Regions from separate parts of the Mus musculus genome. Here region 2 is reported to be linked to region 1. The links are microRNA targets in miRTarBase. Many come from high-throughput screens and were not tested one by one. Region 1 holds a microRNA gene; the other region holds the end of a gene's coding sequence.
Evidence for each region. Region 1 holds the annotated microRNA mmu-miR-106b-5p (UAAAGUGCUGACAGUGCAGAU, at 1,902-1,922, opposite strand). A microRNA usually pairs through its seed, bases 2 to 8, with sites in the 3' UTR of a target mRNA and lowers its output. Matches are read on the target gene's strand: a 7mer-m8 pairs with bases 2 to 8, a 7mer-A1 pairs with bases 2 to 7 and ends in A, and an 8mer does both.

Region 1 (4,390 bases):
TGGAAGGGATGGTGTGTGGGGCTCAGACAGCTGTTCCATGGACCTGAGTACCACATTCCCTTTAGAGAAACTCATTAATAAAAGAGCAGCCCCTTAGCAGCCCTTCCAGTGGCTTTGTCCTCTCAGGCACCACACTGGTTTCTCAACATGGACTCTTAAGGAAGCTTCACCCATTAATCCACATTTTTTGACCACCTACCCACCTTTTAATGACTCGAGGTGACCCCTTGTTGAAGTAGACAAAATGTGATAGGACGACCTGCTTGCTTCCAGTTTTTGTGCTCTGTGATCAATTCATGTCACAGCTCCACAGAAAGATTGCTTTCCCAGGCTAATTTAATTTCACTGCAAATGTTTCTCAAATAGGAAGGGGAGGGAAGCTGAATTCCATCTTTGTAATTGTGGTTATCTCAAGTCCTTGTTTTTCTATATCCTGAAGGTACCTAGGAGGGTGATATGTACCTCATCCTTAGGCCTTCCACTTAAGTCATACCTTGTGCTAGGCGCAACTTTCTGCCCTTCACATCCTGGTGTCATCACGTCTAGATGTGGGGGTCTAACAAACGAAATGTCCATAATTGGAAGCATCTCAAGAAACAGTGGTCCCAAGGCCTTCTATCTCCCAGATTGACTAGCACATAGTAAGGGTCAGTACTAGAGACTAGGGGAGGAGAGAGCATACTAAAAACTCTACAGAGTTATTAACAAGCAAGAGGCAATCAAAACACTTTATTGGCAGAATAAAAAAGTGCAGCATGGGAGAATGAGATTTTTTCTTGAGGGGGCATTCAGCATGCCCTCTGGTGTAGGCAGGAGGGTGTAAAAACTGGCTATCAGACAAAGGTGATCCGTGTCCGAGAAGTATTAACCTGCCAGACATTTAGCTCCTCATATTCATCCAGAGCTGCCTGGAACTGGGCTGGTGTGAAGCCACGAGATATGCAGCGCTGTTCAGCCTCAGAAAAGTGGACACTCCGCCCCCGTGACACCAATTCACGGATGGTGGCAAATATCACATCTGCTGGCCTCTGGGTCCTAAAAGACAAGGATGGAAAAGGTGAAGGTGCAAGGCCACAAACAGTAGCAGCAATCAGCATCAAAACCCTGAGGGCAAGCCAGGTCAATAAGCCCAGTGGTCCAGTCTCACTCTTCATTAAAATCCTCACCTAGCTGTCTGTCCCTTTTCACCTAGAAGGGAGTCCTTCGACATCTCCATCAACCTTATGGCTTCATTTACATCTTCCTTCTCCACAATGTCTACCATCCGAAGTCGAGCCTAAGGGGAAGGCATAGAAAAGATTGGGATAGGAGGGGAGGAGGGGAATGAAGTCAAGGATCTTTCTTTGCTCCAGCTTCAAGCCTGGGCAAGCCACATTTGCCTACTCATTGAACAAAAATGGGGACTCCTCCCTGCCCCCCCACATCTGCAGTGTTGGGCCGGCACTGTCAGACCGAGACAAGTGCAATGCCCAGGGCAGCGTCCAGCAATTGCCCAAGTCTCCGCCTCTCAACACTGGCCAGTCCCGGTGGGTGTTCAGCTGTCCTGTGAGGGAGACCAGACCCTTCTGAACTCCACTAGGCTCCCCATCAAACAAATGGAGCCTGGGGCGCTCAGCTAGGGCCACTATCAGAGGTTGTGTCCTGGGGGCTCGGGAAGTGCTAGCTCAGCAGTAGGTCAGGTAATTACACTACCTGCACGAACAGCACTTTGGAGCCCCCATGACTAAGGTCCAAGAGGGGAGGACAGAATGGAGATTTCTAAGATCATATCTAGGACACCAGGAATTCAAGTCCTAGCCCTCATGGATTCAAGCAGCAAGCAGCCTTTCCCTCCATGGGCGTTGCACGTGCCCTGCTGGAGCAGCAAGTACCCACAGTGCGGTAGCACAGAGAGGACCACTATCTGCACTGTCAGCACTTTAGTCCCAGCAGGGCTGGTAGGAGGGAAGGAGGCGGCTTGAGGGTCATTAGGTGAGGTGGCAGGCAGGGGTCAGCTTTCCAGCTGACAGGGACCCACCACTCACCAGAGCAGTGGAAAGTCGGAGAATGGCCAGCAGGGTCCGGGCAGAAGTATAGGTGGCATCCTTACTGGCCCGGGCCTCTCGCCTCATCTCCACATATGCTGCGGTGATGTAGTCAGCCAGAGATTCAGGCACTGTGGGCTGTCTCTCGTGGCACATGGCTATGTACCGTCTGTGGGAAACAAGGTTCATGGGAAAGCGGGAAAGCAGGCAGGCTTTATGAGATTCCCCACTTAATATTCTATGCTGACGTGGACAGTGAGGGATTTCTCCAAAACAGGGCTGCCAGGACACTTCAAGTAACTTCCAACTTTTCAGGAGAATGACATTTACCAAAGCACCTGTAGTGGGAGGATTTAACTTAACCCCTTGACAGACTTCAGAGACCATGTGAAAACCAGTTTAGAAACCCGAGTCATCTGTGCCATGGAAGCACTTATGGCCAAAAAGCTAGACCTGCCTCGGACAGGATTTAGAGAGTGAGAGAGGTTCCTTTATATACAGGAGGGAAGTAGTTTTTGGAGACATCCCCAAAATGACTCAGGTTTCAGAGTAGCTAGGATTATATAAGGCCTGCTGCTCTGTCATCCCAAAACAGAAAAAAAGTTTCTGATGATCCCTTGGCTACAGAGAGACCCAGGCTCAGCTACTTTTGAGGCTGAAATAGATAAGCAGATGAGTCCTTTCAAGACTCAATGCTTTCCAGACACACTTGGCATAAGACAATGCCACAGACCAGTACTCTCCCCAGACATACCCATCTCCACCCCTCCTACCTCATAAGTTTCATGTCCAAAGGTTCAAATTGGGCAGGGGGCTGCCGGCTGTGCTGGTGGACATAGGTGATGTGCTGGGCCAACCTGGAGAGAAGACGGGCGTCAGTCTTTAGAGCTCTAACACCCTGAGAATCTTGACTCAGTATCCCCTTTTAGCACCACCTCTTCTCCAAAGCATGGCAGACAGGCCTCCCAGAAAACCCTCAAGATCTTAGCTCCAACCTATCTCCATATGAACTGCAAACAAGGAAAGGTGTTTAAGGTGTCTGCACACAGACAAGTTGAGTGGCTTTCTGATTTTACCTCCCTGCCCCAAAGTCACTAAAATGGGCTGTCTCTATGGGTGTCATCTACTTCATTCACCGGAGGTCATTGTCTCTGTCGGGCCGGTCTTGAATCAGCCAGAGGAGGTCGAATCGAGAAAGCAGAGCAGCCGGAAGCTGGACGTTCTGCTCCAGACTGCGGCGGGGATTATATCGGCCGTAGGCAGGATTGGCCGCAGCCAGGATGGAGCATCGGGCATTGAGCGTGGTGAGAATCCCCGCCTTGGCGATGGAGATGGTCTGCTGCTCCATAACCTCATGGATGGCTGTGCGGTCAGCCTCGGCCATCTTGTCAAACTCATCAATGCAGCACACGCCCTGGTCAGCCAGCACCAGGGCACCGCCCTCTAAAGTCAGTTCTCCACTCACAGAGTCTCTCAACACAGCTGCTGTGAGCCCTACACCAGAGGAGCCACGGCCTGTTGTGTACTGACCTGCAAAGATAAAGAGCAAACTGCTGAAGAAAGGAACCGCTTTCCCCAGGCCTTCCAGAGGCCTTAGTGTTTATCAACCAAACACCAAGCCTCATCCCTGTTCACACTCACTTCGCGGTGCCAGACGGTCGATGTAAGATAGGAGCTGAGATTTGGCCACACCAGGGTCTCCCATAAGGCAGATGTGGATGTTTCCTGGCAAATGAGAAGGAAGCCTGAGTGATACTCTTTACCCAAGTTGTCCACCAACAGAGAAGAGCACTTGAGACCTGGTCCCTTCTTAAAGTCCAGACTACTTCTAAGACACAACAACCACTAAGGTAAATCATCAACTCTTGTCATTTACAGACTCTCGTGGGATGTTTTTTTACCCTCCCTCCTAAGTCTCTTGTCCTTCTTACCTCTGATCTTCATGCCTTGAGGAGACTGGTCCACACCACCCACCAGAAGCAGCAGCAGCGCCTTCTTCACATCTTCATGTCCATAGATCTCCGGAGCAATAGAAGCGGCCAGCTTCTCATAGAAATCCTCCTCTGCAAAAAATTAAGCCATAGCATTTCCTTCAGGACAAAATCTAGGATGGAGCTCAACTCTCAACTTGAGCTCGTGGTCCCTCACCTGCAATCTGCTTCAGCTCCTCTGAGCTCAGCTCTCCGGCCCCAGAGACATCATCGTCACTCTTTGTCATCTTCACAATCCAGTGGGCTTCCAGGTAAGTTTCTGAGAGTAAGCCCTGGACACAAGAGTTCCCTTTAAAGTCCCCATCACCAGAGTCCCTGAGAATTTTTTATCCACAAGTTCCACCTCACTGATTTTCATTTTCTAAGGGTGTGAAG
Region 2 (4,390 bases), not on the chromosome of region 1:
AGAATGTCTTTTGAAAAAATGAAGAACCACCAAAGTTTTCCACTATGCTTTGTACAATCTTAGTGAAATGAACGAATACAATAGTTCAAAGGCTGTTGTCTCGATTACTTACATGATGGAAAATGTTTCTTAACTCAAGGGGCCCTTGCTGAAAGTTTTATATACAAGGAGAAGTACACAGCCACTTTTAGCCTTCAAATTCTAAATCATGCACACATGATTTTATTGAGATGAATATACTATCAGGTACAATTTCATCTGTCAGCTGTGTACCATCAATAACAGAACTGGGACTTATCAGTCAAGGATTAACAGGTTTCTCTCTCATTTTAGGGGAGAGTGGGTGGTTTTCAGCAGGCTGCTGTGTACTGGGCAGGTATCTCCCCTACTGCTGTGTACCCAGGCAAGTGCATTTAGTAGTCTTTTCCCCTTCTTCCCTTACGGCCCCTCTCCATTATGTTTACGCTCCAAATATTCCAGAGTTAAGTTGCTTTCCTTTGACCTGATCTTTGATTCTGATAAGATTAATATGTGAAATCATAACGTCAATAATTATCTATGTAAAATTTTGGGGAAAATCTATTAGTCTATCTGTATCTCAACCTTAATATTTGTAAAGCCAACATGGGTTAGAAAACTCAATGACTTCTCCCTTTCTATTGTTCCTGCTTCTCTGGGGCTCATGAATTATTGTCTGAGTGTTTGGGGCCTTGCTTGAGGTGAGATAGCATGGACTCATATTCATTGAATTCTCTGATATATTAGTTTTGTCTGGACACTCATATCCATTGGCACTGACAGCCTTGGTACCAGAAGGTTAGGTGAATGAACGGGGTCTTCCTTTGTATATCCTTGCTATAGCCCATGTCTGATATTCAGGTCAGAGACAGATGGTTCAGTGGTCATATTCAGCATTGGCAGACACACAGTACTACTAGATAGACTGCATTTTTAAAAATAACGGTTAAAGTTGCTTAGCATGAGAACACAGTCTGGGAATGGAGATCAATGGTAGAGTATTTGTCTACCATGAGCAAGGTCCTGGGTTGGATCACCAGCTCCATAGACTCACACACAGACCCCAAATTTCCGGGTGTGGGAGGAAGTCATGGCAACCACCTTTTGACTCATGCTGCCAGGAGTTTGTAAATTTCCTTGTCTTCTCTGCTAAGTAAGTAGTTATTTTCAGACAGCCTTGGGAGCATTATAGTGAAATTTATTCACATAGCTGATGGTGTACTCAGCTCTAGGTAGCCGAAAAAAATGAGTATGTTTCTAAGAAAAGAATGTACTAACCCAGATCCAACCAAGTGGAGCCAACATAGAAGGGTGGGGTATGAGCGTGTAGCTGCATAAACAGGAAACTCAATGGTCCCTCTGCTCTGTCCACTGCATTTGAGCCTACAAGCCTGGGGACTGTGGGAGAGCCAACAAACTCTGGCTGCTTTTCTAATAAGAAAATCTTCCTGCCATGAAAGCTGTTGCATTGGTTTACATGTTGAAATAGTTTTGGGAAACAGAAAAAAAAAATTGTAGAATCAGTTGGTCAGAACAGCAGGTCCAGGATACAACTGAGGTTAAAAGGTGCATTAAAAAAAATAACAAAAAACACCACAACATTCAACTAGCTTTGGGGATCTTCTAGTCTTTGAGTATTTTGTCTTGCTTAGTGTAAAGAGTCCAAGTTTATATTTAGTAAGACCTGATGGGCACACTGAAATTAAAGCTTTCGAGTCAGAATCTGGCCTGGATAATGTTAGCATTGGAATAACTTAGCTGCAACCAAATGAGCTAAGGGCTTAGGAATAGCTAGGCTTTTCAGTCCTGATGATAACTGCTGCAATTCTGTCAAGTCTCCATGACCCACACCCATCCAGAGTAGCAGCATGGTGTCCTGCACTCTTTAAAGTGACAGGGCACAGCCATGGTGTGGCTTACTGTGACAGGGCACAGCCATGGTATAATTTTCATGCCCATGAAATTGTCCTTGAATTCTAAAGTGTTTTTAAAAATACCTTATAATTTTAATTTTCTTACTATCCTGTGCATAGTAAATGCTTCTTATTTTGAAATATTTAGCCCCTAGTTCCTCTCCTCTATCTAAGTGGCTGGCATTCACAAAGGGTAAGATGTGCCACAGTTGGCATTGTGTTTGGATCTGAGTGGCTTTCTTTCACTAGATTTATCTGGGGTCGATTTATCTCCTCGAAAAGACCAGTGCAGCTCCAGGACCAGGCGCTACACAAGAACAGTGCATGTCCTTACTCCACTTCTTTTTAGGAATGGTTGGTTTTGTTTTTTCCCAAAAAGGGCCAGTACACTGATGCCTGAACTATAGCAAGGGCTTTTAAAAATATTTACAACACTGTAAGCTGTCTAGATGAGATTTCTGGACAAGAACAAGATAACCCACTGGAACATATAACAAATGTGCTCCATGGGCCCTTGTAAAGAGGAAAGTCTTATGAAAATTTAACATCAACTTGGCCAGACTTTGGGTTGAATTGCAAGAACAAAGTGCTGCTCAGTGTAAACGCCTGGGATGGGAGCGATGTGATTTCTACGGATACAGCTGAAGCAGTGAGAACAATGGCCAGCTGATCTCAAATCCCAAAGGTTACTTAGGACCAAGTATTCCCACTGCATAATGGCTTTTCTTTTTTGAGATGCTCAATGTATAGGCACACAGACTTGGAAACAGAGAATAATATCTTCAACTGTTTCAAAGAAAGCAAGCATGTCTAGATCCTTGTTGGTGGAGATGTCACAGAAAGGATCTGACATGACTAATGCTAACATGCGTCACACAGGGACCAGTCTGGCCAAAGCTCTAGTTTGTCTTCTACACCAACTCTTGTGCTTCTCCAATGTCTCCAATGGTCACAATTCTTTGCAGAGTATACAACCTGCAAACACTCTTCTTCCCCTTTCTTTATAGTCCCTAGGGTTTAAATTAACCCAATGACTCTTTTTTTTTTCTGAGAGAGTGCCCAGCCTAGCGCTTGAAATTAAATAGTTGAAGGCTACACTAGAAAGCCCTTGCAGGATCTGCCACAACTTCGCTCATGCCAACAGACACAATGCTACCCACACTGTGGGCTTTCTTTTTGACAGAAAGAAGAGACACTGTAGCTTATGCCACTCTACTCAAATAGACCACCATGCTGTAGAATAACAATATGGACCAGTAAGAATAAGAGGCATTTCCTATAGAATTCTTCACGGGGGAAGACATTAAGATTTGCTCAGTTTGTTATGAAACATCCAAGTTATCCAGAGCCTTGAACACAATGGGTACAGATGCAAACACATACAAGCAAAGCTAGCCCAGAAGTATTCCTAATTGGTACTAGGGCAACAGGAAGTGTGTGTGTGTGTGTGTGTGTGTGTGTGTGTGTGTGTGTGAGAGAGAGAGAGAGAGAGAGAGAGAGAGAGAGAGAGAGAATGCAACCTGCAAACCAGTTTTTTTACTTTTTATTTTGAAGATTCTGATCCCCTTGGCTAAAGAGATCCTGCTGGAGCTGGCCAGAGCTCCCTGGTTGTGAGGACTATATCAAAGTAGAGAGGAGGAGATGACAGTCACATTCCTCATTCACATGGGAGTCGGTTTATTATTAAAATACAAACTTAGAACTATTTCAAGCTATTCTCTGTGCAGCATACTTCCAAATGCAATATAACCTTTTCCCAATCAAGTCTAAATCACACGGCTTCAATGCACCTGTCCTAAGTTTGTTAAGACCATTCAAAGAGCAGTGCAAAAGAGGAAGAGAAGGCGTCTTTCCTTGTAAGTGGCAGACAGGCTTTGCCAGATTGTCTATGGGTTCTGTTCTGGAGACTATTCAATTTGGTTTGGGGGTGGGGGCACTTTTTAATCAGCCGTTTGGCACTTTCCATTTGGAGTTCTTAGGCACAGTGTGACAGAGTGAGCTTCGTGAGCCCTTCCCCATGCATTCGATAGAGCAGCTGAAACTCAGCAGGCAGCTGGTGAGACTCCTGCCACTTGGTGGTAAATTTGGTTCCTTTTTTGTCATAGTAGTGGTAGGGCAGATCCTCCCTGGTGTTGGGGTCAAATCCAAAGGGCCAGAAACCGTACAAGTGGATCTCTTCACATATTGCAGATGCAAGAGTATACATTAGGATACCTGTGCTCAGTCGTTTGGGTGACAGGTGTTTGTTTTTCCAGTACCTGCAGAACAATAAATACATTGCAGATTCAGCAGCTGGTACTGAATGAAGGTTTCAGTCAGATAAGTCAAGAAGCAGGGCAAGGAGCTAGAGTTTTCTAGACTGTTTGGGTTTCACCGCTAGATACACTTCCCAGCTTCAGTATGCGGTCGGGCCTGCTCCCTTTCGGATGGAATTTAAAATGTCATAAAAAAATCAAATA

Region 2: miRTarBase lists St8sia3 as a target of mmu-miR-106b-5p. Seed matches in the 3' UTR shown: 7mer-m8 at 2,515-2,521, 7mer-A1 at 1,996-2,002 and 7mer-A1 at 1,905-1,911.

The regions. Positions count from the first base shown.
Region 1 is chr5:138,163,886-138,168,275 of GRCm38, forward strand. It overlaps Mir106b (microRNA 106b), which reads right to left and starts at 1,933; the gene lies at 1,852-1,933. It overlaps Mcm7 (minichromosome maintenance complex component 7), which reads right to left. Exons shown (of 15, transcript NM_008568.3): 8 at 4,173-4,287; 9 at 3,956-4,087; 10 at 3,666-3,749; 11 at 3,161-3,554; 12 at 2,798-2,881; 13 at 2,025-2,193; 14 at 1,167-1,276; 15 at 698-1,035. The coding sequence ends at 834. Mir25 (microRNA 25) reads right to left here and starts at 1,519; the gene lies at 1,436-1,519. It overlaps Mir93 (microRNA 93), which reads right to left and starts at 1,725; the gene lies at 1,638-1,725. It also overlaps Cops6.
Region 2 is chr18:64,271,313-64,275,702 of GRCm38, reverse strand. St8sia3 (ST8 alpha-N-acetyl-neuraminide alpha-2,8-sialyltransferase 3) reads right to left here. Exons shown (of 6, transcript NM_009182.3): 6 at 1-4,189. The coding sequence ends at 3,907. The region is part of intron 1 of St8sia3os (ST8 alpha-N-acetyl-neuraminide alpha-2,8-sialyltransferase 3, opposite strand); the gene reads left to right. Among named protein-coding and RNA genes, the nearest start is that of St8sia3os, 3.7 kb to the left of the region's middle.